Oryzias latipes: one gene and its partners. The protein of the gene in region 7 purifies or fractionates together with the protein of the main gene of each other region. This does not show direct contact. Links are inferred from orthologs where the notes say so. Each region holds a gene or a part of one and is shown on either strand. Other genes may lie near its edges.

What was found.
Region 1: the proteins of nck1 (region 7) and was purify together in Homo sapiens (affinity purification with western blotting; 4 studies listed by BioGRID and IntAct, with this or other methods). This does not show direct contact. The link is inferred for Oryzias latipes from reciprocal best matches to the Homo sapiens genes NCK1 and WAS.
Region 2: the proteins of nck1 (region 7) and git1 purify together in Homo sapiens (affinity purification with mass spectrometry; 4 studies listed by BioGRID and IntAct, with this or other methods). This does not show direct contact. The link is inferred for Oryzias latipes from reciprocal best matches to the Homo sapiens genes NCK1 and GIT1.
Region 3: the proteins of nck1 (region 7) and wipf2 purify together in Homo sapiens (co-immunoprecipitation; 3 studies listed by BioGRID and IntAct, with this or other methods). This does not show direct contact. The link is inferred for Oryzias latipes from reciprocal best matches to the Homo sapiens genes NCK1 and WIPF2.
Region 4: the proteins of nck1 (region 7) and pdgfrb purify together in Homo sapiens (affinity purification with western blotting; 3 studies listed by BioGRID and IntAct, with this or other methods). This does not show direct contact. The link is inferred for Oryzias latipes from reciprocal best matches to the Homo sapiens genes NCK1 and PDGFRB.
Region 5: the proteins of nck1 (region 7) and abl1 purify together in Homo sapiens (affinity purification with western blotting; 3 studies listed by BioGRID). This does not show direct contact. The link is inferred for Oryzias latipes from reciprocal best matches to the Homo sapiens genes NCK1 and ABL1.
Region 6: the proteins of nck1 (region 7) and wipf1 purify together in Homo sapiens (co-immunoprecipitation; 5 studies listed by BioGRID and IntAct, with this or other methods). This does not show direct contact. The link is inferred for Oryzias latipes from reciprocal best matches to the Homo sapiens genes NCK1 and WIPF1.

The regions. Positions count from the first base shown.
Region 1 is NC_019865.2:21,090,542-21,094,620, reverse strand, and holds the start of was (wiskott-Aldrich syndrome protein), read right to left. Parts: upstream 2,801-4,079; 5' UTR 2,652-2,800; coding exon 2,550-2,651; intron 1,864-2,549; coding exon 1,723-1,863; intron 1,607-1,722; coding exon 1,520-1,606; intron 1,431-1,519; coding exon 1,334-1,430; intron 1,069-1,333; coding exon 1,039-1,068; intron 955-1,038; coding exon 919-954; intron 817-918; coding exon 618-816; intron 549-617; coding exon 370-548; intron 296-369; coding exon 1-295. Other genes in the region: sodium-coupled neutral amino acid transporter 3-like, read right to left, coding at 4,035-4,079. UniProt on the Homo sapiens protein: Effector protein for Rho-type GTPases that regulates actin filament reorganization via its interaction with the Arp2/3 complex. Important for efficient actin polymerization. Possible regulator of lymphocyte and platelet function.
Region 2 is NC_019871.2:27,419,039-27,423,130, forward strand, and holds the start of git1 (ARF GTPase-activating protein GIT1), read right to left. Parts: upstream 2,801-4,092; 5' UTR 2,416-2,800; coding exon 2,364-2,415; intron 1-2,363. Other genes in the region: ankrd13b (ankyrin repeat domain-containing protein 13B), read left to right, coding at 3,690-3,797. UniProt on the Homo sapiens protein: GTPase-activating protein for ADP ribosylation factor family members, including ARF1.
Region 3 is NC_019859.2:1,935,332-1,938,831, reverse strand, and holds part of wipf2 (WAS/WASL-interacting protein family member 2), read right to left. Parts: intron 3,363-3,500; coding exon 2,748-3,362; intron 953-2,747; coding exon 716-952; intron 1-715. UniProt on the Homo sapiens protein: Plays an active role in the formation of cell surface protrusions downstream of activated PDGFB receptors. Plays an important role in actin-microspike formation through cooperation with WASL.
Region 4 is NC_019868.2:16,271,139-16,274,638, forward strand, and holds part of pdgfrb (platelet-derived growth factor receptor beta), read left to right. Parts: intron 1-618; coding exon 619-799; intron 800-1,421; coding exon 1,422-1,537; intron 1,538-1,908; coding exon 1,909-2,032; intron 2,033-2,189; coding exon 2,190-2,401; intron 2,402-2,767; coding exon 2,768-2,862; intron 2,863-2,958; coding exon 2,959-3,091; intron 3,092-3,500. UniProt on the Homo sapiens protein: Tyrosine-protein kinase that acts as a cell-surface receptor for homodimeric PDGFB and PDGFD and for heterodimers formed by PDGFA and PDGFB, and plays an essential role in the regulation of embryonic development, cell proliferation, survival, differentiation, chemotaxis and migration.
Region 5 is NC_019870.2:12,824,770-12,828,903, forward strand, and holds the start of abl1 (tyrosine-protein kinase ABL1), read right to left. Parts: upstream 2,801-4,134; 5' UTR 2,254-2,800; intron 1,531-2,253; 5' UTR 1,300-1,530; coding exon 1,173-1,299; intron 1-1,172. Other genes in the region: exosc2 (exosome complex component RRP4), read right to left, coding at 3,980-4,060. UniProt on the Homo sapiens protein: Non-receptor tyrosine-protein kinase that plays a role in many key processes linked to cell growth and survival such as cytoskeleton remodeling in response to extracellular stimuli, cell motility and adhesion, receptor endocytosis, autophagy, DNA damage response and apoptosis.
Region 6 is NC_019873.2:4,931,173-4,934,672, forward strand, and holds part of wipf1 (WAS/WASL-interacting protein family member 1), read left to right. Parts: intron 1-156; 5' UTR 157-193; coding exon 194-253; intron 254-1,701; coding exon 1,702-1,831; intron 1,832-3,045; coding exon 3,046-3,207; intron 3,208-3,287; coding exon 3,288-3,500. UniProt on the Homo sapiens protein: Plays a role in the reorganization of the actin cytoskeleton. Contributes with NCK1 and GRB2 in the recruitment and activation of WASL.
Region 7 is NC_019878.2:18,420,978-18,424,477, reverse strand, and holds part of nck1 (cytoplasmic protein NCK1), read right to left. Parts: intron 1,596-3,500; coding exon 832-1,595; intron 756-831; coding exon 555-755; 3' UTR 1-554. UniProt on the Homo sapiens protein: Adapter protein which associates with tyrosine-phosphorylated growth factor receptors, such as KDR and PDGFRB, or their cellular substrates. Maintains low levels of EIF2S1 phosphorylation by promoting its dephosphorylation by PP1.

The DNA of each region.
Region 1 (4,079 bases), on a different chromosome or scaffold from region 7:
GGTGGTGGCATGATGTGGGAGGACACTTGGAATGAGGCACCCTGTTTTGAGGAGGGTGGAGCCTGCGGAGGGGGTGGGGGTAGGCCCCCTCGGCTTGATGGAGGCGGAGGTGGCAGGCCCCCACGTGGTGGAGGTGGATTTGGAGTCGGGCTCCCCCGCTGGGATTGACCTGGGAGCGGTGGTAGAGGGCCGGAGCGACCTCGAGGGGGCGGAGGGGCTGGAGCGGAAGACCCAGAGCCGGGCAGAGGAGGCAGGGCTCCCTGTCTGCCATGTGGAGGTGGTGGAGGTGCAGCAGCTGGTAGAACATGTGAGTTATGCATTTAGCAGAGGCTCTGAAAATGATCAAACGATCAAACATATGCATCCAACCTGCTCTGTTTGCCTCCTGTTGGACAGCTTCAATTCCCCCGGACTGCTCAATGACATTATAGATGAGCTGGGAGGTCTTCTCGTCCTTGAGGTCAGCTTCACTAATGCCCGCCTGGGAGAACAGCTTCAGCAGATTAGGGTCAATGTTATTGGGGTCCCATCCAACATGCGACACATGCCTGGCAGAGAGGAGAGCAGGAATAAACAGACAGCAACACATGAGTACCTCTAAAGACTCCATTTCTTACGTAAACCCGCTGGGAGCTCCTATGTCTGCCTTGGACAGTTTAGGACCTTTTTTCTTGCTTTTCTTGCTTTTCTTATTATTAATAACTACAGCTGTAGCAGCAGGGGGTGGAGGCATGGTGCGATAACGTGAAGACTGGATGTCTGGGTTTTGGATGTCCACTGTTGCCATGTGAAAGGAACCGTGGTTACCAGCTGCTGCTTTTTAGAAAGAAATTCCAATTAAGACACTATCATATATTTATTTAATTTGAAAAAAAAATATTGAAACCACAATTTGAAATTGAATTTGAAAAAAGACACCTTTGTCAGGAGGAACTGGAGGCAAGGAACCTCGATCTACAACAAAACAGAGGAGAAAAAATGATATTCTGAAATGCAGGAGGAATTTATCCAAAAATAGTGTAAAAAATGTGTATTTACCAGGCGTCGGTAGGGGGCGCTGTTTCTTATCTGTCAACAGGAAAAAAAATTCAGGCCACCAAAAACACTTGAATGAGTGCAAACTGTTTCTTTCAGTATTTTAACAACAAAAAATCTTACCATATAACTTAAAAACACAGAATTTGTAAATATTCAAACATGCATTTACTTTATTTGCCACTTTCCTCTGAGCCCCGGATAAAAACAGAAGTTCAGTTCATCGGAAATGCAAATCAGGCACAAACTTGTCGCGTTCATGATTCTATCTGATAATCCCCACAGAAGAGATGCTGACCTTGACGGTTGTTTCTTTGACTGATTTTCTCCACAACGGCATTTTGGAAAATTTCTGCTTCGCCTTCATCTGAGAAGTTCAGCCCCACTTGACAATCCTTCAATGAGTTTACACAAGCCGATGCATTAAACCACCCCACAAGGTAGAAGATTATGATTTAAGAAGGGCAGATCAACGAGCACTTACATCTGCAGTGAAGGTGTGAAAAAACGTCCGTGGAGTGGAGTAAATGATTTGGTTGTACAGCTCCTGCTCCCAAACCATTTTCTCTGTCTGAGGGAGCAAATGATGGATGTGTCAGTTAGTGACCCTAGTGCTCAGCAGGCCTTGAAAAGGGGAACCTGGTTATCACGACTGGATCTTCAGAGCACAGTGAGCCTCTGACTGACCTTCATGTCAAACATTCGGATGAAGTAGGAGCGCTGAGGGTTGTCTTTGACAAAGCAAACCACCCCGGTGTGCTGCATACTCCACATGGTTGGACTGTGAGGGAGAGCCATGAACAGCTGAGCCACTGCAGTGGCCATGGACTAAACACACAAATAAGGGACCGATTAAAAACTGTTCACAGCCGATAAGACTCCCAAGAGCATTTCATTGCAGTCCTCATGTAAATTTCCAGTTGCGTGACGATTATCTTCCTCCTCATCGTTAGTTAGGTTCAATGGCATTCTTTATTTTCCACTGCAAACGATGAAACACTTTACATTGAGAGCATGTTCAAATGTTAAGCTTTCATTGAGAATATTTACTTTTGCAGCTAACAAACACAAAGCAACATCTTCCACACTGTGAGACTCAACCCAACATGGTTTCTAATTCTGACGGCAGGGGAAGAATCGTTTTAGCTACCATTTCCTGTAAGGGCCACCCTCTTTTTCACAACTCAATGCTAGAATATAATTCAAACAAAAAAAGGAATTTTATTTTAGAGAAATATACATGTACTCTTGCTAGTGTTTACTTTTTTTTCCGAGGAATTATCTAAAATAAAAGAAAAGATCAGTGGAGGTAAAATTAAAAAAAGTATTCTCAAAAGCCTCAGTGCTGAGCTGCAACTATGCTCTTAAATTTAGGATGTGATGTTTAATCATCCTTGAAATAGCAGATAGAAGTGATATGGACATTTTTTGAGTGTCAGCTATAAAAGGTCTTAGGCCTTAACCCCTCATTTTCACAGATGAGACAGAGTGTATTAGGTCATTTCAGAACTTACTGAACATCTTCTTCCCAGCAGCTCCTCCAGCTTCTCATTCTCTTGTTGGCTCAACAGAGAGCTTCGGTTGCTCTCAGTCTTACTTTTAGATCCACGGCTCATGATGCCTCTTAAAAAAGATCCACTTTATCTGAAATCTGCATGTATCTTGTTTAAAAAAAAGCAGCCCTGCAGTCGCTAAGAGAATGGCCTCTTCGGTTAACTTTGCAATCAAGGAAGTTTCTCTTCTCTGTTTTGAACGCAGCTCAAAGCAGGAAATGAACAACCGCACTTCTCTAACCCCCACTTTTCTTCTTCGCTTGGGCATAAATGAACGTGCTATACTTCCATTTTCATAGAGGCGGCGAAATGTTGCTCTTCCACTGATGTGCATATTCAAATTTAATAAAGCAAACACACATTCTGGGTGCATTTAATATCAGAAGGAGAAAACACCAGCGACAAAACACAGATGTACAAATGACACTTATTTTATTGACAGATAACAACATTCACATTAATTTAAAAATGCACATCCTGCATAAAACAGTTAAAAGATACCATTTGACGGACAAAACAAAACTTCCTTTATTGTACATAAAATTGAAAAAGGGCAGTTCCTCAACATTTTCCAGGACTGCAAAATCTGTCTAATACTGGATTTATGTCAATCTTGAGTTTAACTGGCTTTGTCAAGCATTTTAATAAAAAATACATTTTATTTTTGTAAAGTGACAAAATTCCTTTTTTTTGGCTTGACGCTTGTAAGTAACAAAAAGAATCCCTGTTTAAACTCACTGTATGTGTGTTTATGATGGTCAGTAACTGTTGACTTTGAAGAAATGGCAGTAAAGCCCCAACAACTGTGGGACTTTAAGTTCGATGATAATTATGGTTTTTACGTCAGTCGGATAAAGTACCCATTAAAAATACTAAATAAATATTTTCTCTTTTGATTGATTAAAATCAATTTTGTTCCCAAGTGCTTTTAAGCTGATCAAGTAAGGTCCGATAAAGCTCTCAAACCAAAGGAAAATGGAAAAGGATCAGGTTTTGTGTTGTTTAACAAGAAGCAAAAGCAGTTGCATATACTGACTGTATTCAGATGGGTGTCCTGTAAAAACTGGAATAGCAGGGAAGTGCAATATAGGGATTACTGTGACTGAACTATTCCAAGAAACAGAACACATCAGCATTCTATAAATGGCATTTCCATTGCTGTCATGTTGTTCCCATTCATCCTTTTGCTGCCATTTTACTAGTGACTTCAACAGCACGGCGGTTCTGAGTTGTGGCAGGTTGTGCAGCACACGTTATTTTGAACGCTGCCTTTCGGCCTCCACTACATAACTTGATGTTGGTGGAGGTTTTCACTTTTTTTATTTTTTCAAAACCTTTTAGTTTGAGTTTGGACGGAAACTCAACAGAAGTGTTTCAGGTACACAGGACGAGCTTTGGTTGGCATTCTGACTGTAGTACCTCCGCTCTGTCATGACCAGTGTACAGCTAGTGTCCACCTTTTATCGGCTGTCCCGTCACCCAGTCAAAGAT
Region 2 (4,092 bases), on a different chromosome or scaffold from region 7:
AGTGTTTTTCATAAAGAATGCAAGAAAAACTTTTGAAAGTAGCTCCGCCCACACATGGTGGGAGCGTCAGATTTATAAAACACTTTCAGGCAAACGTCCAACAGTGACTTTGACGCGAGTTAAAACAGAAGCAGAGGAAGCAAATTTGATGCATGAATCGCGTTTGGTGTGAACGGACAATTGATTGAAATGAACTGTGGCTAGTGATCCGTATTGGACAGTAGCTTCCTGTGGGATCCGGTGTTAGACCTTGTAAAAAGTGAAAAAAATAATGAAGCTAGGAGATTTGAATCTACCCAACACCACCGCTTTTCACTACATCTCCCATGATGCATTGGATAATTGAGACGCCGTCTCTTTCTGTGCTGCTGTTAACTGCCATGAAGCGCAACTAATGCAAACATCTGTTTTTAAAAGCTTGTAAATCTTCCTGATGAAATCAGACAAAAACTGTTTATTTCTCCTTCAAGGTTTGTGCTGAAGAAAAAAATCATTAAGAGTCAAAGATTCCAGTGTTTGGTCAAAGTCTTCTTTCTAAAGGAAACAGCTGCTTTCTAATGTCTTTGAAGGACAAATTCTGTTTCAGACTTCAGTCACTTCTGAAAAATTGAAAGTTGAGTTTAAATAAAACTAATAACAACATAAAGAAACCGATTTAAGGTGAAGTGACCAACAGACCAATTTAATCTAAAAAGAAACTTATTCACCCAAAATTGATTCAATTTTTTTTGTTAAAGTTACATTTTTGATTTAGACAAAAGCAAAACAAATAAACCTTCAGCATGTTCATGAATATAATGTTGATCTCTTTTGTGTAAAATGTGTCACTCGTGTTGTGATTATTATATTTGTTCAAAAACTACAGTTGCACTCATGACAACAAAGACATTTTTTTAAATCACTGTTCTAAAAGATTATACTTTTGTTTTTTATTTTTGGGTTACATATAATTTAAACTGGAGGGAAAAACAAATACCTGGGTAAAGTTATAACTAGTTACGTTGAAAATTATTTAAACCTATTGCGACTTTTAGGAAAAACAGCTGCAACTTCCAGCTTTTTGTGCTTCAATTGTTACAAAAAACGCATGTGAGATCGTGGAGGGACTGTACATCAATACAGACTACAGAGTTTCTCTTTTTTACATTTTTGGGCGCTGGTTTTCCTTGTGGTTTTTGACAAGGAAAATCTGGAGCTTGGCTAAAAAAGAAATGGTTGAAAAACATCATTCTAAATAAAAATTCCAAATTTGAATGCAAGCTTTGCAAAAAAATGTTACATTAAAATTCCAAATCTGTCACATTATATCAACATCTTCAAAGCAGTAAACCCACAAATATGAGATAAGAGTTGTGAAAAAAGGGAGCATAACTTTGAATTCTGAAACTTCAAGGTGTCATACAAAAAAACATCAATACGTCATGGCTAATATAAGGTCAAACCATGTTATACACTGACCAATACCGTGAATAAAGATCCTGCTTTTTCCTAAATAAACTTATAACATGACAGCTTTCTGAGTAACAAAAATTTGAAAAGAAAGATACGACACTTAAGTTAAAGCATGAACTTATTTTCATGAATTCAGTTTAAGTTTGATGAATTTAGTCTTACTTTTGAGTTACTTAACTAGTGTCAAGTCCATAAGTCTAGTTTAAAATGGCCGATAAGATAAATATCAACTAAAAGAACATTTTTTAAAAGAGTTTGGTGTAATAATAGATGACCGTTAGCCATCAAAAATCCTCGCGCGGAGCTAGCTTGGTGGGAACTTGTCGTAGCAAAAGTTAGCTGGAGTAGCTAGCGTCCGGCGCTAGCCTAGCTAGCCTGGTCACGAAAACTTCAACCTTATAGAAGATTTTAAAAAAGGAATATTAACACGGTGATAGCTGTGCAAAGGCAACATATTAAAACTTACTCCATCTAGATCGTGTTAAAACAGAATGCTAGAACGAAAGTCAAATAATTTGGTACCTTGCTAACCTCCATGCTACGCTAAGAAGTCTGTCCCAGTCACGAAAATCAAAACAAACGCTTTTTTCCTTAGACTGGCTCCTGCTTTGGAGCATCGGTAACTTCAGCACGCAGAGGAGGGGCACATAAAGTCTAAATCACCGCTGTTCCTTCTATGAAATCAACTTTATCAGCTGGTGGCTAAAGGCACTCTCCGTGGTTTAACACGCCTATTTTTCGCTGTTTATTTTGGGCCTAACCCAGGCTCAGGAGCCCTGGCCGCTTTCCTGCTCTGGAGACCCGCGGACAGTGACAGCATCTTCGGCTCCGTTAGCCCACCGTACAGCCGTTCCCATGTATTGTTTCGCCACAGTGGTCTATTTCTACGTATTTACCCCCCTCCTCCCTACCTGGCGCACTGCAGTCAGCGCAGACTTCTGTCCTTTGTAGCTTTCTTGACATCTCGAAAGAGGCTGCGGAGATCGAGAGGTGGATGCCTCCGCCGATGTTGGGTATTCTCCCCCCTGAGCGAGCGAGCGACCGACGTCTGCCGTCAACCGCAGCGGCCCCGGAATCCCCGGAAGCCGGGTGGTGTGTTCGGCTTTCCCGGCCAGCTGAGGACTGATTTTTCTTTTTTTTTTGTCTCTCCGCTCAATAGTCTCCTCGGCCACGTTCCCTCCGGAGGAGCAGATCTAGATTAAAGTTGTGCATGAATCTGCACACACGCAGCGCGTGCCACGGGACCGCTTCATTAAAATCCGGTCCCTGCGTTGCCATCAAGTCGCCGAGAGACGGCGGCTCTCTACCTGCCAGTCTGCGCGCGCGCACACACCCTTCAGCCCCGCAGCCCACCTACCGAGAACCGGGGCGGGTCGAACGACAATTCAGTAGGAAGAAAACAACAAAAAGTTGACCGGAAGAGTGTGTTATGTTTGATTTAAATAAAAAAAAACAATAATTTCACGAGAGAAGGCTAATTTTTTAGATATGAGGCTAAATAAATATCAAACAAAAAATACGGATGTTATTTTCTACCTTTTTTAATTTTATTTTTAACTGTTGTGTTTTTCTGTATTTCCAGTCTGAATGTGTTCCTGCTCGTATATCTACTTGATGTCTTCTTTACATCAATTAAAAAATGTGTTTGGTCACAGCTACTAATTCGTTAAAGTCCAGTAGTTGTTTTTTTTCCAGCATTGTTGCTGCTGTTTGGGATCACGTGATTTGTTGTAATAATTACAAATATTATTATTATTTATTTATTTCATGGGACATGTTTAATCTCAGGTTTAATCTCCCCATCCCTGACTGCGGATTGGCTGATTGCGCGCACATTTCATTGCATCTTGTCAGCGCATCTTTCTCAGTCACCACCCGATGGGAGGAGGAAGAGGAGGAGGGTGGATGTGTTGGAGTAGGAAGAGGAGAAAGACAGAAAAGCTTTTGGGTGGAGGAAGGGATGGTGGAGGAAGAAAGACAGACAGACAGAAAGGTGTAGCTTCATTCTCCGAAACAATCAAAGGGGGGAGGAGGAGGGGGGGGGGGGGTGTTTGGATGCACTTTATCCTGAACGGAGGGGCAGAGTGGCTCATTTACGCGGCAGCCTAACACACGCCTTTGGGCATCACCGCCGGGTGAAGGATGCGAGGATCGATCAAATAGAGCAAATTGACGACCAAAGTATTCGTCCAAAGCCCAAAGTGAAGAGCGGGGACGTGGCAAACTATGATACGAGGATGATTTCTGCAAAGAAAACTCCGGAGGAGAGTCGGTATCCTATCCACTATCTGGTGTGGCACAATAAGCACCGTCAGCTGGAGAAGGAGCTGGAAACGAGCAAGCAGGTGAGGCAAAGACGTGCACCTATGGGGGGGGAATCTGTTCTGTTTTTTATATTTTTTATTCCTGGTGGCTGTCATGGGTGTGTGAGTCTCCAAATGATGTGGATCATGGTGCCAGACGCATGGAGATTCCCCTCCATCAACAACCTGGACAATGATACCGCAGTTCAATCGGACTGGACTCATTTATTCATTCATTGAAGTATTCCAAAAATAAATGACATGCCCAGCTAATATACATTGTGAAGCTGTTTGAAGCTGCTATCCTGCTAGCAGTTTCATGCTGCATGGGGAGTTT
Region 3 (3,500 bases), on a different chromosome or scaffold from region 7:
CAACACAAGACGGAAACAAACGCCGGGGTAACGTGGAAATGAGACCGGCTTCTGCCGATGCTAAGCAGAGATTCGTCTGCCTGAAAACTGAAACGTTCAGCCAGTTGAAGCAGAGACATGCAAAGAAATGAAGGTTTCTACGCAAAAGTCCAGTTTCAGAAACGCAGCAGCTCAGCTTACGGCTAAAATCCAACACTGAGTCTTTGGTTTCAAATCAATTTTCTTTGGTTTAACTTTGTCCTCATTTCAGAAACTATTTGTTTCTGTTTTTTTTACTGTAAATAGTCTTCAAGAGATGCAATAATGTTAATGAGTGAACAAATCAATATTTTTGTCTACTGAGATAAAAAATTCAGATTTTGTTTGTTCGTTTAGGGGGAATTTGTTGACATTTCAGTCTCAGGGTCAAAACGACTCGGTGGCGGTTCATCTCCTGAGCTTCATGGCGTGTCGGCCTGGAGACTCGTGGAAGAGCGTTCCTGGTAATCAGGAAACAAAGCGCCGTTTTGCATACGAGCAGGAGGTGGTTTGCTTATCTTTGAACAGCCGCCTGCATCACAGAAAAATCCTAAACAAACTAGTTCCACTGAAGAACAGCAGCAGCCATTTTCACACAGATTCGCCTTTGATGAAGTCGTGGGAAAAACGGAAGAATCCATTCCTGCTTTCCGTGTCCCCAACGCCACGTGGACGGAGGGATGGAGGCGGGACTCACCTGTGTTTGGTCTAGAAGAGGAGGAGCTGGAGTGACCGTTGCGGATGGGTGGAGGAGGAGGGGGCGGCCCCGCTGGCGTTCTGGTAGATGGTGGAGCTGAGGAGGAGACGGGGGGAGGAGGCTTCCCCACCCGGATCTGGGGCTCTGAGCCTCCAGAGCTGTGGCCACGATACGGAGGCGGGGGAGGAGGGGCATCACGACCGCCGTTCCGAGAGCTGGGAGGGGGGGCCGGGGGGACTGTGACCAGGAAAAAAGAAAAAAGTTCAGGATTAGAATCTGAAGAGTGGAAGAACACTTTCTCTGAGAGGGGAACCGGACCGCTGAAAGGCTCGCTTTGGTTTTCTGGGACAGGAGCTGCGACCAATGCTTTTTTAAAAAGGAGGTGTAAGCTCCTCCCCAGTGGAACAGCCTCCATCAGGACCAGAGACCTGATGAAACTAAAGACACATCAATCACTTATTCATAGCTGATTCATTCTGGACGAATTTATGTCATTGTATTTTACTTTCTTTGAAAACGCCAAGGGGGAGGAGCTTAAGTATCTGGGTTTGGAAGGATACTGACAGTTTGGTAGAGTCAGTTTAATCCTTGGGGGGTTTATATTTTAATAATTGTTGTCACATATTTACTGTTGTATTCGTGTATAAATTGGTGCTGCTGGCAGATTTTGTTTCTTTGACTTAAAAAGTATTTTATTTATCAAAAGGAAATAATAATTGTAATTCAGAATTTTTCTGCTGTAAATTCTTAATAAAAATAAAAAAGGGATCATTCTAGAAACGGATAATTAATGTTCTGGTAATAAAAAGCAACGTCCCAATTTAACACTGAGAAGTGGCAGATGACACGACGTCTGTCAACAGAAGAAAAATACTTTAATCTGAATTAGAAAACGTCTTTTGGGATTTATTCAATCTTAGGGGGTCTGTTAGACATAAAAGTGATGTCAATACAGATCAAGTCAGTCTGACTGTGTGTGAGAACTGGACTGGGTGGCCCCGCCCCCCTGGCGTTCCAAACAGGAAGTAGCCGCTAAAATCTCGTAGACGTCTATTGAGAACCAAACAGCTGTTACTCGGTTTTGTTGGTCAGAAGAACCATTCAGGGTCTGACCCCTTTAAAATCATCTCTATTATTCCCCTTTTTCGTGATTCTTTTCTGTAGTTCAAGTTATTTAAATCATAAACTGGCCAATCAGATGCTCCAGTAAACGTAGGCGGAACTTTCAAAGCGACTGACAGATTTTCTGTAGTCTGCCATCAAGTAGAAGGGGCGTGGCCTTCCAGCAAGCTGGTAACAGTGGTCACCATAGAAACTCAGACCGGCTCGGACCAATCACTGCTTACTGATGTCATCAGACTCAAACATGGTGACTGAATTGACTTAATTTGGTTTGAGGAGAAAGTAAACAATTTTCTATGGATGACGTCACACTCAGTCCAGCTCTCTGATACAGTCAATGGTTGTGACTCATAACCTAATCCTGTTTCCAGAGATCAGGAAAAACAAACAAATAAATCCACTAAACTGAACCGTTTCCAGGGTTCAAACTTTGATTTTACAAAACCAGCTGATCAGCAGCTGCAGTTTGATGTCAGCTGGAGGCAGAATGAGAGAAGAGGAAAGCTGGAATATTCCAGAAAACTTCAGGAATGCAGAGGAACCTGGAGAATCGTTTGTTGGCCCATTACACGCAGGCAACACGTCAGTTCCAGTTTGGCGAGTTTGGAGTTACAAACGTTTCCACGCCGGATGGAACTGAGGCCGCGTTTCTACGACAACCTGGAGGCAAAGAGTCCCTCGACAAATGTGAATAACAGAGGAAATCAGATGGTTGTTGTCTGGATGTGTGTGTGTGTGTGTGGGGGGGGGGTCATGTGATGAAGATGCTATATATGCAGCTAAATGTAAGAAAACTGTTGATCTCTTCAAAAATCCAGACGTCAGAAACCGCTCGACTGCCAGCTGTAGCATCTGTGTGCGTGTGTGTGTGTGTGTGTGTGTGTGTGCGTGTGTGAGACCACGTTCATACCTGCTCTGCGTCCAGGTGGTTCTCTGGCGGGCGGCGGTGGCCGGCTGCCCTGCTGGGAGGATGGAGAAGGAGGGGGCGGTGGGGCTTGACTCCGCCCCCCTGATGAGTGCTTCTTACGCAGCGAGTTGTGTCTCCGCGGGAGCTCAGGGGCCCCCCCTCCATCCACGTCGGAGGGCCCGTTGGAGACCCCACCTGACAGGTGAGGTCTGTAAGGGGGAGGAGGGGGAGGAGCGTGAGAGCCGCTGGGCTGCGGTCTGCTCGAGGACGACGGGGGCCTCGCCGTACTTGACGGCGCGGGAGCTCTTTGCGGCGTTGGTGGGAGGGGTTTCTCTCTTGAAGCAGGCGCTTGCGGAGCGTTGCCGCGGTTTCCTCTGTTGAAGGGGGGAGGGGGCGGCGGGGCAGATGTGCTGTGCTTCATCCCGCCGGAGGAGCTGCTGTTGTGGGAGTGGGAGATGTCTGGCAGGGAGGGGCGGTGCGACCGCTGGGGCTCCGACGAAGAGGGCCTGTTGGGCGGGGTGGGGGAGCTGGAGCGACCCGTGGGGGGGCGAGGAGCAGCAGGCCGGGATCCCGGCGGCTTGAGGGCGGATCTGCCGAGGGAACCAACAACCGGACCGTCTGGGAGGAGGAGAGAGGCGGAGAATCATGCAGACATCAAACACAGAGAGGCGGAGCTTCCAGTGGGCTGAACGTGGGTTTTTGAACACATGTAGTGTTCGTACGGGACTACTCGTTGGTAGAGCATGGACCTACAGT
Region 4 (3,500 bases), on a different chromosome or scaffold from region 7:
AATCGTTTTTAGTGGGGAAGCTGTCTGGACAAAAAGTGCCACAAAAATACTTTTCAAACAATAAAAATTGTCCAGGATGAAAACTTTTTGTTTGACTTGCAAGTTTTGGTTTGACAAATGAAAGCAAATAGAAATGTATGGCAAATTGATGTGTGAAGGTCCCCTAAATTTGCCAAGCTGTTGAATTATTTCCAAATATGACATCTTAGAGGTTTGTGAAAAAAACACAACCGTGTCTGATAAAAGAAGAACCTAAGATGTTAGTTATCGATACAGACGTTATGAACTTTATTGAACTATTTCAAAACATGTTGTAGTTTCTCTGTCTGTTTATGAAGTTTCAAAAATATACGCCTTCAGAAACATTAGACCAAACTCAAATATTTGTCTGGTTAAAACAACTGGGCCTAAATGTTTTGCTAGTTCCTTTAATATGCATAATTCGGTCAGACAAAAGAATTTAAATGAATATATTTTTGTTACTTCAGGTCGAGTAGAGTGGATTCATTGTCTCCTAAGAAGCCAAAGAAAGTCTCATGCATACTCTTATTGTGAGTTTTAACGTGTGATTGCACTAAATATGCTGTGTTGCTGATGAGATTTTTTTTCTCTTACCAGAAAAAGGTTTTGTGGATGTGAAGCCAGCTCAGTCAAAAAACATTTCCACCAAAGTACAGGAGAATGTCGAACTGCGAGTGGAAATCACTGCCTACCCGCCTCCTCAGATTCTGTGGGCCAAAGATGGCGCCACCATCAAAGGAGACAAAAGCATCACCATTAGACAAGTGAATGAGATCAGGTAGATCGTCCAGCTTGAATGATCAGCTGTTTCAAAAATTCACCACAAATCCACAGACCAACACTTTGAGTTGTTTCTGTTTAAGCAATTAGCACAGGACCTGTGAGTCTTTCAGTCAGTAGATGCGTGCAGCTTATGTCAGTCAGCACCATGCAAAGCCTCCACAGAGAGAAACACAATTCCCTCCATAGGGCCGGACTCCATCTTTCAACGCACATGAACCATAAACACAAAACGCCTGTCACAACTCTCAAAGGACTTCTAGACAAATGCCAAACAAGAAAAGACTTTTAAAATAAAGGTTAAAAAACTAATGATCTAACTGAAACATCAAACACAGGCCTCAGTAGACAGATTCAAAACAGCAAGTAAATGGCCCAACATCATAGTGAACCTTATTGGATTTTGTCAGAGTAACAGATCTGGCATTCTTTTCAATTATTAACCACATATTTACACCATCAGAACTTCATTTGACTTTTTTAAAGTTAAAAAGACAAGATTTTCAACACAAGATTAAGAAAAAGAGAATTCATGTTATTAAGATGTTTGTTGCTCAATTACATGTAATCAGAAGGAGGTAAAAATAATTAAGATTCTGTTTCATTCTCTTGTGCATCAGGTACGTCACCATTCTCACGTTGGTGAGGGTGAGGATGGAGCAGAAAGGACTCTACACTGTCCTCATTAGAAATGGGGATGACTCAAAGGAAGTGGCCTTTGACCTGGAAGTACATGGTAGGTAGACTTGTCCAAAAACCATCTGTCTTGTTTTTTTTTTTTTTAGTAATTTTTTCAGTTGTGAAATATTAGATTAAAACATAAAAACTAAAGTCCAGTTGTAACAATTTTGTCTGATTTGGGCTGATTCAAACATGTTAGGACTATAACAAGCAAAGATAACTCAAGATATTTTCTTTTCCCTTTTTTTATATATTGTAATTTGGCCCCTTTAGGCCGCCATTGATAATTGTCACTTTACAAATGAACTGATTTAAAGTTGGCAAAAACAATTTGTATAAATGTATTTCCTGGGTCTAGTCTACTTCACTATCCTTTATTGACTACTGCAATGCTTATCTAATTCTACTTTTCTTGGTGTGTCTTAGTTCCCTCTCAGATTAAAGATCTGTCTGATCACCACCTGCCAGCGAACAGACACTTGGTGACCTGCACCGCAGAGGGGGTCCCAACTCCGACCATACAGTGGTACAGCTGTGACAGCATGCTGAAGTGAGTGCCACCCCTCCTTCCTGAGATGCTGCAGTGTCAACACTAGAGGGCTGACTAAACACACACATTTATTCAACATTCAGAGCATCAGCTTTAGCTTTGCTCTCCTCTGCTGCAGATGTTGTGATTTGAGTGCTGATCCAGTGTTCTGCTGCAGGTGTAGTAACCAAACATCAGCATGGCAGCCGCTGGTCCCACATTCAGAGGAGCTGAGCATCCAGACCAATGTGAGCTACAGCCAGGCACGAAAACTGAGTCGAGTGCGCAGCCAAGTGACCTTCCTCAAGCCCCAGCAGGTCACAGTTCGCTGTGAGACCACCAACCAAGCCGGACTCACCGACCGGAGAGACATCAAACTGGTGTCTAGCAGTAGGTGTTCTGACAACCACTCAGAATGGTGTATTTTTCATTACAGTGAGACCTCAACGCAATTTTGATAGTCTGTTATTGTTAAAATGTTGTCCATAAAATGTTATTCTGTAGTTGTCTTTACAAAAAAAAAGCTAAATAATTTATTGCGTCATTTGATGTTAAATAGAAGACATGCTAATATTAAGTTATTGTTTGTAGAATTTGGTACAAACTACCGTGTACTATCACAAACATTTATTTACTACTATTTTCTTTAACTCAGTAAAGTAGTATTAAAACAAATGTTTAGCCTCATGTCTGCAGAGTTTGAATCATATTGGTTTATTGTTTTCTCCTAAAATGCCATGTCCATGTCCTTTGCAGCACTCTTCTCCCAGGTGACTGTATTAGCTGCTGTTTTGGCATTAGTGGTCATCATTATTATGTCCATCATCATCCTCATTGCTGTATGGAGGAAGGTAAGAAAACACCTTTGTGGAAATAAAAGTGAATTTAAAGACAATACTAGAAAAAACATTGAACTTGATGATATTCTTTTCCTTGATGTTCCTCAGAAACCTCGCTATGAAATCAGATGGAAAGTCATTGAATCTGTGAGTCAGGATGGCCACGAGTACATCTATGTGGATCCCATCCACCTGCCCTATGACCTGGCCTGGGAAATGCGCAGAGACAACCTGGTTCTGGGTAAGTCAGAATAAGACAGGTGTGGATATTGGGAGGAAGTTGGATTTATGACAAAATGTAGGTTTCTTTAGTCTTTGTCAAAACCTTTTATCTACTAGTTAAATTATTTTTTTATCCAGCCTGAGTGCAGTTATTCAGTATAAACAATGAAAGAGTCCATTTAAGAGGTCTTCTACATCAGAAACAGCTCCACTCTTGTTGTTGTACAAAATACAGGTTCAGGTCAACCTGAATGTACATGAAAAAAAATGAACAGACAGGAAGTCTTTAAAGTCCCACTCTGTTTAAAATCTGTTTTTGATGTTTTAACACGTTCTTGTGGCTTTTTTTCTCATGATGGCGGTCACAAATAAAGAAAATTAAGCTTAAAATTACATTTCTGAGGTATTTCTGTAGTTAAATCATGAAG
Region 5 (4,134 bases), on a different chromosome or scaffold from region 7:
GGACATAACATAAGAAAACAGAGATGGTATCATTGAGCATGATCGCACGCTAAAATAGCTTTCATACTCCTTCAAAATACTAATGACAGAAATGGTTTAAATTGCATTTAATTTTGCTCTGCTTTTGTGGCCAAAAGCCCACAAAATCCCTGTTTTTTTTTCCTAATGGAATTTGTTCATTCCATCTTCTTCCTCTTTCCCTTCCCACTCTAACTATCAAGCTTTTTTTTTTAATTTCAAAATCAATCCAAAGGGGCTTTAGTCCTCCACATTAATGAATAATTTGCAATTTTTAATCAGATTGCATCCGGTACATTTGGAGCACAGTTGTAAACTCTTTTTCAGATCATAAAAAAATGATGATTGTAAATCCTAATCACAAGCACAAATGTTTTCATTTTAAAAATCACAAGAAAAAGTGTTTAAATAAGGTTTTAAGTCAACATTTTACTGACAAGCAAGCTTTTAGCTTAAGAACAAAGGTTTTTATGTTATATTCAGCAATAGGTTGTATTGGATAATGTTGTAAAATGCTTTGAAGTAAGCTTCATATTTAATTACATATCTATGACTGAGTTTTAAACATCCCTATACACTTTTGATTTAGGCACAACATTTTCAAAGTGGCATATCATTGATCACACCGTAATGGAAGTTGATGTGAGAGAAAACGCTTTTATTTTCTCAGGGAACTTTGAAACATCTGTGAAATATTAATCCAATAATAATTATATCATATAAGGCCAAACTAAGCACAAACTTGTCATCCAGGTTAATTTATCTGCAGGAAAATGCATTTGCAATTGAATTTGCATTTAAAAAGGTAAATTTAAGGTTAAAAAGTTTGGTAAAATACCTTTGGATCAGATTTTGAAGCTGCATAGATTTGATTTTCTGCTCAGGTTGCATGGATTGTTTTGCCAGCTTTTTAATCAATGACAAAGATGTCAAATCCCCTAAATTTTCTGCCAAAGATTTTGCTGAAGCTAGTGCACGCAAGACAAAGTCTTCTAAAATATAAACTGATTAAAAAACATGAGCCTATTGAATGCAGACATTAATATCTAGAATTTGTGATTGCCAATAGGAAGTGGAAAAAAGCAAATGATTGTCCTTCAGTATTTTTTGTCTCTGAATTTTTACCTTAAAAATGAGTGGGGTTGTGATCTTACCGTGCCAATCAAAAACATTCATCGGCTGATTCACATGGCGCGGTAAGTCCTTCTTTCCCCCCTTAATAAAGGCTGGAAGACTGGGTCTCCTTTGGTCCCCGACAAACTTTCCCGGCTGCTGCCCCATAAGGGCAGGGTGCCAGGCTGCAGCCGGGACTATCCAAGTCGGACGGAGTCGGTTAGAAAGCTTGCTGAGCGGCAATGGCGGGATCTGGAGAAGACAGGAGCCTCTTTCCGGGCTCACACTGTCTTCTCCTGGAGTATTGGTGATGCAGGCCTCCTGCACAAGTCTGTGTTACTCCAGTAGGGTTCAGTTTTTTTATGCATTCAGACGACATATGAGGGACCTAACAGGAATCTGCAGAAACGTAAACAACAGTAATCAGCATTCAAAGTTATCTGATCAAACTTTTTTTAAATAAAGAAATGACAAATAAGCTTGTAAAAAAATGTCTTTTAAGCAATACGCCAACAAACTTTCAATTTTGGGAGTTGTTTTAAGACTATTTCTGTTCTGTAAAAAGTATTAGACCTGACCACATGTTAAATAATAACATGAAATGCATTTTATAATAATCTAGATTAAAAAAATAATTTTAGAGCCTGACCAATCAGATCAAAAGATTAAATTAATTATAATTTAGAATAAGTGTCTTTTTAATGTTAAAACTGCTCAAAAATGTCTTGTTCTGTAGAAGTTGAGAGTTAAATTGAAAGTATTTCCTCAAGTTTGTTAGGTTTAGGGTTCGAACAACTACTTTTCTAAATTGTTTAACGTCAATCACAGCCTCAAAATAATAGTGTTGGGTTAGTCTCGGTTTAGTTACAGCTTCACATAACTAACTACAAATACTGAAAATACATTTGCTTATCAGTACTAAAGAAAAGCGACACCTTATGTTGTTTATCTCGACTATCTTAGTCTTAATCTTTCGAGCACAATAATGTAAACTAGTGTCATACGTGGTTTAATTAACTATAAACAACTTTGTGACAACGACATCTTTGTTTTTGACTCTAATAAAACTGTACAGTTAAAAAATAAAACGTTGATAAGTGTTTAAATGTGAGGTAAACTTACATGAAAACATTGACACTGTTGGTTAGCTCCAGCTAATGTTGACGATAGCCATAAGCTAACCAAACTTCTGCTGGTGGTAAGCAGCGCCAGACCCCTATGCACGCCGGACAGTCAACGGTTGGTTTCTGCTGGTAACCGCAGTCAAGTCCACTTCATTATCTCACCAAAACATGTCCCGTGACCGCAGTTTCACACTCTGTAACCAAAAATCAAAGCACTTGTTGGTGTGTTTCAAACTTCCGCGTCCACTCTTCCCGTTTTGTGGAGCGTCTCCCCCCGCGTCTCTAAAGCCACTTGTAGGCGAAGTTGAGGGAACTCTGAGGGCCAGACGACTCTGTCTCCTAGATTTTCTCCCGAATTCCCAGCCGCCGTGCCCTTTACTAGCGAGCTCTATGCTTGCGTGCTTATTCATCACTTTCACGTGAAAACCTGAGCAGTAAACTTTGGCCGAGTTCCAGTTCTGTCGCTGGAACCGCCATACTTCCATACGTAAGGTGGTTTACAGAAATATGTGGGTGGGGCTACGTGTGACGTCACGAGCTCAGCGTGGGCTAGCACCATGAGGGAAGCGCAAAAAAAAAAAAAAAAAACCATGAGGGAAGCGCACGTTTTTGATATGTTTCTGCTACGTTTGTTACTTGCTGTGGTTGAATAAGTTTGGAATGATGACAATAGTTGTTGATGCTGATCTATTTTATTCCTTGATGTTATGTTTTGTAAATTTAATGTTATGATCAATAAAGTTTGGAAAAAAAATGAGGGAAGCGCACGAGTTTGGATTCTGCTGGAGGAGCAGGAAGGGAAACAGAAGGGGAAAAGCCATCCCAGCAGGGATAAATCGAATTCTTTTTTTAGCTTTCTTCATTTAAAAGAATACAAGGTTGGTTAGAAAAAACATTCAGGAATAACAAAGGTGATTGCACACTTTTATATAAATAAAGTCACTTTTTATTAACCTGTCTTAGAGTAGAACATTTTTTTTAGTTATCAAACAACTATGAGAAAAAAAATTAAATCCTGCATATAAAACTAACAATTAATGAATTTTCAAAAATTAGTACATAAAAAGGGAAATGTAGGCCATGTTCCAACTAATAAATATTTTATGTAGCAAATTGAATTTCATTTTTTTATTGTTTAAAATAAAAAACATTTCTTGAGAGCTAATGATTCAGACTGTTATGAAAAAAAAGTATTTAAGTTAGTAGAAGCATGAAGCACCAAAATGCTGCTAAACATTTAACAATATTTAATTTAACATTTAATGAAGAGTGAAATAATCAGATTTATTTTAAGATCTAACATTAACCCTGAAGACCCATTTTCCTTCAAACGAAAATTATTTTGAATATACAAAAATCCAAGTGGACCAAAGAACACACTTTTGATGATTTTGTTACAATTATGTCCACCATGGGTTCTTATAGGTTAATTGATTCAATGTACTCATTGTTTTTTATCAATACAGACCACGATGAGAACTATACAGAAATGACTGAAATTTTATTTTATACAAAACCATCACAATGTAATGTCACACCGAGCATTTACAAATGTGGACAACATTTTAATTTTCATTCAGGTTATATGCATTATTAATGTTTGATATCAAATAAAGAATGTGATCTCTGAGCACCTCACTTTGATTCATAGAAGACAACTAAACTTAATTTTTGGATAAGTGGATGGTGGCCCCGTTGTTGGATGTGGTTTTAGCATTAGCCTTTTATCCTTCCTGTTCCAGCAGCTTCTGTTGGGTCAACATGACAATCTCTTCCATCACCTCGGGTTTTAAGATGTCCTTGACCTACAGGCAGGGAAAAGGGAAATCTTTAAAACAGGTTGTTATCGTTTTGTAAAAGTCCAGAAACATTTATAGTT
Region 6 (3,500 bases), on a different chromosome or scaffold from region 7:
AGAATTTCTGCTATTCTGAGCGTAAATCACTGGAGACAAACTGGTAGATTTCTGTTTTTTAGTTGATCTTTCGTGTTATTTAGAACTTCTCAGTCAGTGAGAACCATAAATACCGATAACCACGCTTTGTTTTAACCACTGTTGTGTTTCCTCCAGGGTGCGGCAGCCAGTGGTGATAGAGTAAAGCGAAGCCATGCCAGCCCCCCCGCCCCCACCGCCCCCGGGGCCTCCCCCTCCTCCGACCTTCAATCTTGTAAGTCTGTTTGACCCCTGTCCGCCTACCAGAGACATCTAGCGGATCAATCATGTCAATGAACCTGATCTCCTGTCGAAATAAAGGAACATGTGATAATATTTGAACATCGTAAAGTCAAAGTCGTCAGTCAAGCTTTTGGATGATTGTGGCTGACAGGTAATGAAAACCCAAACTGTCGTTATTTTTGAAAAAATTAAAAGTGTTTTAAAACAATTCATTGATGGAAACTCCCACATTCAGCTAATATACTCCAAACATCTGCAAAGGTTTCTTGAGCCTTTGATGGTCTCAGTGTGGGCAATCACAAGAAAGACTGTTGACCTGACAGACGTCCAGAAGACGTTTGTTCTCATGGAGGACAAACCACAAAAGCCGGTTGTTCACAGAGTGCTGTATTCAAGCGTATCAACAAAAAACTTGTGTGGAAGGAAAAACTGCCATGCAACAGAGAGTACTGCAGCTTTGGGAGGACTGCTGACCAAAATCTAGTCAAGAATTTAGCGGGGCATCTCAAGGATGGACTGAGGACGAAGTTGGTGTGTCAAAGAATGGGTTACAGATGTTGGATTCCTCACGTCAAACACCTCCTGAACCAGAAACATAACAAGCGTCTTACCTGGGCTAAAGAAGGAAAAGAAAACAAGTTTTTGATTTCATTCGGAAAATAAAGTCTCAGTGGAGGAGTGGAGAGAGGAGTGGAGAGACACAGATTTCATGTGGCTTGAAGTTTAGTGAAAAGTTTCCATCAGTCATGGTTGGTCATCTGCTAGTGTTGGTTCACTGTGTTATCTTGAAGTTCACAGTCATAGCAAACATCCAACAGGAAACTGGACGAGTTCATGCTGCCCTCCGCTGGCAAACTAAGGAGATGCTGATTTTTATTTTCCAGCAGGACTTGTACCCTGCCCACTCTGCCAAAGGAACCAAAAGATGGTACCATAATCACAATGTTACTGTGCTAGTGCCGGAAAACTCACCTGACCTGAACCTGACAGAAAATCTGTTATGAAAATAAAAGGCAACCTAAAGCTCCATTAGACCTACACAGCTCCACTGGCTTGTGGCCTCCATGCTGCAGAGTATCCATGAATGAAGAGTTCCACTCAAGTCCAGAGTGCAAAAACATCAACATAGTTATCAGAAGCCCTTTACTGAAAACATATGTTTTCATTAAAAGACACAAAATTGTATAACTTATGTGTACGGTATTAACAGAAAGGTTACAAGATACAGACTTGAAATATTTTAATCTGTTTGCAATTATTCCACTTTTTGAATTTCCTTTTAAAATGATTGAACTTTCTCAAAGAATGCACCCATACTTTTAGAGTAGGTATCTCTTATATCATTTCTGGGTGAAATAATTAAAGGAATAAGATAAAATCATCTTTATTCAAATTGATCATTCATTTTTTCTTTCTTGACGTGTTTGGATCTCATTTCAGGCGAACACAGAGAAGCCAGCGCTGAACCGCTCAGAGCAGCAGGGAAGGGGCGCTCTTCTGTCTGACATATGCAAAGGCGCCCGGTTAAAGAAAGCTGTAACAAATGACCGCAGCGGGCCCGTATTTGAGAGTAAGTTATTTGCTCCTGGGTAGAACCAGAAAATCCCACAATACATGGAGAAGAAGGCTTTATTTCAAACAAATAAAATTAAATATGCTACACTTAAAACCACAGTATGATCTATCACAACAGCAAAAGTAAATTATACCTCACCAGCATTCATGTGCTTGTAAGTAAAAGTACGATGACAAAACAAAGAATCCTGTTAGAGGAGCTGGTTTTGTTCAGGTAACAGGAGACTAAGTTCAGAAACAAGCCTGGCTAGTTAATGAATCTTTGTACTTGAATGAATTTTTATCTTTGCACGAATGCAAAGATAAAAATGAAAAATTGTTTTTAGTATCTCTATGTCATTTTATGGTTAGCTTGTTAGGATAGTTAGCTTATTATCTTCAGCTATTTTACACATGATCCACAATGTGCTCACCCTAATCACTGAATACAAACACATATTAAACCTTTTAACCCTTGTGCTATTTTAGATGACCCCCCCCCTTACATTGAGGTGTTCTCCCTACCATGACAAAGGTGGATAAAGGTGGAAAGATTTCATGTAATCCATGGACACCAGTGAAGATCACAAATCATTGAAGAAAAAAGGTTCTGAGCACTGTCTAGTGGGTCTAGATCAGTGGTCCCCAACCTTTTGTTCACCGCGGACTGCTGCCTGTTAAAGGCAGATTTCCCTTTTTTAGCGGGTGCAGGTTCCTCTTCTGTCCCTTCATTGGACCGTTTCCCCTTGTCAAAGCAACTTTCTAAAGAAGTTTGTTTTTTGCTCATTTTGGTTGTTTGGGTTTAACTTTAGCGGGGTGTATCACGTGATGTTTTGTGTCGCGACTTAGACGTGCGTTAAGGGTGACGGATGTAACAGAGAGAATCTGGTCACTTTTCAAAATAAAACGTTTTTTTCGAAAAAAAACAATAAAATGGAAATTATTTTTTATTTCTGTGCGTCCCGGTGCCAAAATTTCCCGCGGCCCGGCCCGGTGGTTGGGGACCACTGGTCTACAGTAGATGACCCAACTCCCAATGTTAAAGTGCCTAGGATAGCACAAGGAATAAACCTTCCTTCAGTTTCACTAAACAAACACATGTTCTAAAACGTAAAGGTGTAACTTGAACGTACTGTGAGGATCTTTCTCATCAATTAAGAAAATCTGATTATCCTAAAGTAAAAAGAAAAAACTAAACGGACTGTTTCTGTATCTTTTCTTCTTTGGTAGAACCCAAAGGAGGAGGTGGTGGTGGAGGCGGAGGAGGAGGAGGAGGAGGAGGCGGAGGCTGTGGAGGAGGAGGTTTTGGTGGGGGGTCACCTGGGGGTTTAGGGGGCCTTTTTGCAGGGGGGATGCCAAAACTGAGGTCTGCAGCAAACAGAGAGTCTAATGGTAAAAGTGACTCAAATCCTGGATGTTGATCGTCTCTCAGGATGCATCTTCATTTCTTCCTGTTTTCATGTTTTTCTCAGATTCAGGACCCAGTCGTGGACCTATTCTCCCCCCAGGGGCTCGCCCTGGCGGCCCCAGTTCCTATGGTGGAGGCGGTAGCCCCTCTGGCCCTCCTAAACTCCCAGGTGCTCCTTCTGTTCCCCGTAGCAGTCCTCCTGATCTTCCGAGGGGCCGCCCAGGTCAGCCATCAAGGCAGGACTCTCCAGGAGGGGGCCCCCCTCCCTTACCAAACA
Region 7 (3,500 bases):
GTTCACAGCGCCCGCTGAAAACCTGTGCCCATCAGAAATGAAAAAAAATAAAAACATGGATCCTAACATGTCAATAAATATAGTTTGGTCACTTGTTGGCGAGAAGGTGTGGATTTTTTAGTGTGCACACAAAAAAATAAGCATTAAAACAGACGAAACAAGAGCTGTGGGCGTGGCTCTGAGGTGCTGAAATCTAAGAAATGAAATAAAAATCACCTTTTTAAAAGACACTGTTAAAAGATAATATGGTATCAACAAATAAAAAATAATAATAAAAAAAGAAAACCTAAATGAAACGAAGTTTGAGAATGAAACATCTGGATAATTTAAAATAGGCGACCCTTTCTCAGGGATTTGTAGTCTTTGTTGTCTCTCCTGCGCTCCTCCCACATGTCCTCTTGGAATGCTCACAAAGCGGCTGCTTGAGTCCTCCTGACGTGTTCAGTCTGAAGTGGGAGGGCTGAAATGTTAGCGTGCGGTCTGCTGGAAGTATCTGCATTATCTACGCTTTTGATTCATACGTAGGAGTGTGAGTTTGTGTGGGAGAGGCGTGATCAGGAGGCAGCCATGGCCTTGATCAGGTACAGTTTGTCTCCCTGCTCACTGGTGAAGATGGGGGCTTTTTTGTAGTGTTCGACAAGCTCTTCCATAGAGTTGAATTTGCGCTGTCCAATGCAGTAAAGGTTGTCCTTCAGCTGCACTTTGAAATGCTTGTTCTTGCTCTGGGCCTTCAAGGAGATGGAGAAGTCGTTTGGCTGAAACGAGAAGGAGACGGAGGTTAGGAGGAGCATTTCACAGCAGCTACAGACCAGACGGAGGTTGGATGAAGACCTGGCGACTGACCGACGACTCGCTGTCTCGGATGAGGAAGTCTCCCTCGATGCCTCTCTGGTTCAGGGCCACCTCCGCCTGGTGGCGCGTCACCTTTCCGTAGTACCACTCTTTCCCCGCGAATCGCCCGCTCACCGACGGAGAGATGTAGTCGCAGTCTGGTGTGGGAGGCCCGGCGAGCCCCGTGGATTTATGGGAGCTGGAGTCCAGCACGGTGACGTAGTTCTTAGGCACCAAGCCCAGCTGTCCGTCTGCTTTCCGGCACTTCCACCACTCCGGGTCGTTCTCCGGTTTCTCCACGACCTCCATCACCTCCCCTTTTTCAAAGTTCAGTTCCTCGTCGTTACCAGAGTTGAAAGGGTAGAGCGCCTGCACCGTGTGCAGCACCCTGTTCCCGTTGGCCGTGCTGCTCACCACGGCCGCAAGCTTCTCCGTCAGCGATGCGGCGGGGTCGCCGAATCCCCCCATGACCCCTCCTCCCGCCGTCCCGTCCACGTCTTCGGTCACGTAGTTGGACGGAAACCAACCGGACCGTCCGCTGTAGCTTCCTCGCCACCAGCCGTCGCTGCACTTCTCCATCACCACCACCCGCGTGCCCTTCACCAGCGAGAGCTCGTCTTCGCGCTCCGCCGTGTAGCTGAACTTGACCAGAGCGGGCACGTTGAGGTCGTACAGACGCTCGCCATTGTCCATGCTGGGGTCGGTCTCGGCGTTGGACGCTGAGTCTCTCATTCCTCCTTTTTTACTCTTCACCTTTCCGATGCCTGCAGGGAAATTAGAAGAAGATTCACAAAAAGAAGACACGATTTATCGACTAAACTACTTCAACCAGGACCCGAGCCTTCTATTGGTGCACGAAGAGGCTCAACGGCAAACACACCGACTATTGTACATCACTGCAGACCCAACCAGGAAAACCAAATCCCAGACAAATACCAGCAGCTAATCAGTATTTGGAGCTGTGCTCAAACACAGGGAGGGTGGGGAAGCAGGGTTAAATATCATTCCTTTCCACATGGCAGTGCCTGAAAGCCCCCCCACACTCTAAATCCAAATACATTCTTGGGGATTAGGTTGGGTGCTGGGGAAACAAAAAAAAACATTATGCTGGTGTTAAAAAGCAAAGTTTTTTTTTAGAAAGTGAGTGGGATGGAGACGTGTTTTGGCCTGAACCTGTGGAAGTGGAAAAATGAACATAGTAATATTTAAGCTCTGGGATTTCTGAGGGGAAAACTGCTTTGTACAAAAAAGGTTTAGTAATAGTTCCTGCCTGCATCCTGGCATCCCATAATCGCCTGCGCTGCTCCAGCACCTGCGGCCTCTTACTCACATCCTTGCTGTTGAAGCTCTATTATGCTTTTTGCTACAAGATTTCTTGTCTGCACTCCTCTTTTGCTAATCAGCCAGTTAAGGGTTTGGATTTCAGTGTGGAATGAGAACGGGTTTTATCAGAAAACTCGCAGCGATTGTTCCCCGACATTCCCGACCACCAGGAATAACCACAGACAAAAGGTCAAGTTTGACCTTTTCGTCCTGCCAACTTCTCGACCCAGCCCTCCGTGACTTCAAAAACGAGAGGACAACAATGCCCTTAGATCCGGGTGCTGGTGTTGGAGAAAATTTCCACCTGGCAGGTTAGGACTTGCGCAAAACAAGTGTAACCGGCAGAAGACGCAATGCTGAGATCATGCCCTCTGCCTGGCGCTCATGGGACCAAATAGAAGCCGTAACATCACAGTCTGCGGCGTCTCCCATTAAGCTGCTGCTGCCATTACAGCCCATGATCTTCCAACCAGGCTGAGGCCGCGAGGAGCCAAACGCTGATACGGTGCAGCGATTTCAAATGAGACCTTTTTTTTTTGTTTTCTTTTTTTCGATGACGTTTGCAAGGCCATTGCTTGCATAATCAAAAGACAGCTGGTTGAAATTATACAGTGAGTTAGGGTGGAGTCTCCAGGGCAGCGCGGGGAGGGATGGTGATTCTTATGCGAGCGGGGAACCACAGATAGACTGGTGCTGAAAGGTGCCTCTGACTCAAGGAGAGCAGACAAATTTCATGGTAGCGCCGAGAGTCCAACGTCAAATTGCTTCCAGGTAGACCCCTGTCATTAGTCCCACCACGGTCCCTAACTACAGGCTGCAGGCTGGGTGTTAAGAGCTGGTGTCTGGGGGTTATGTGTAGCGCAAATGCTAGTTAAGCATCTCTGTGACTCAAAGAGACAGCAGATGCTTTTTTCTTTTACGTTAAAGGAAAATAAGATATTAAAACAAATGGATGACTTCCATTTGATTAGGTTGAAAATGATTTTTTTAAATTGGTTTTAGCTCCAACAGAGTGGGAAGAACGTGACTTTTTTCCATCTATGATCAGGTGTCTGTGATTGGCTGCTTCCTGCTGAAGTCACCCAAACACTTTGCATTAAAAAAGCAAAGCCGCAGCATTTGACTAGATTCTCAATCTGCAGTAGCGCCAGAACGGAAAGTTAGATTTCCCTGTCCAACTACAGGCCGATGATGGGATGATAAGAGCTTGTCACTGGAGGCAAATGCATCTGCTGCGCTTGTGTTAATTGTAAGAACTTGCTTTTTGGTGGGAAGAGCTGCCGGCTGACGCTCCCTTTTTACAGTTTGGTAGATAGTATCTGTTCACGTCAAACGCAGAGGATGGA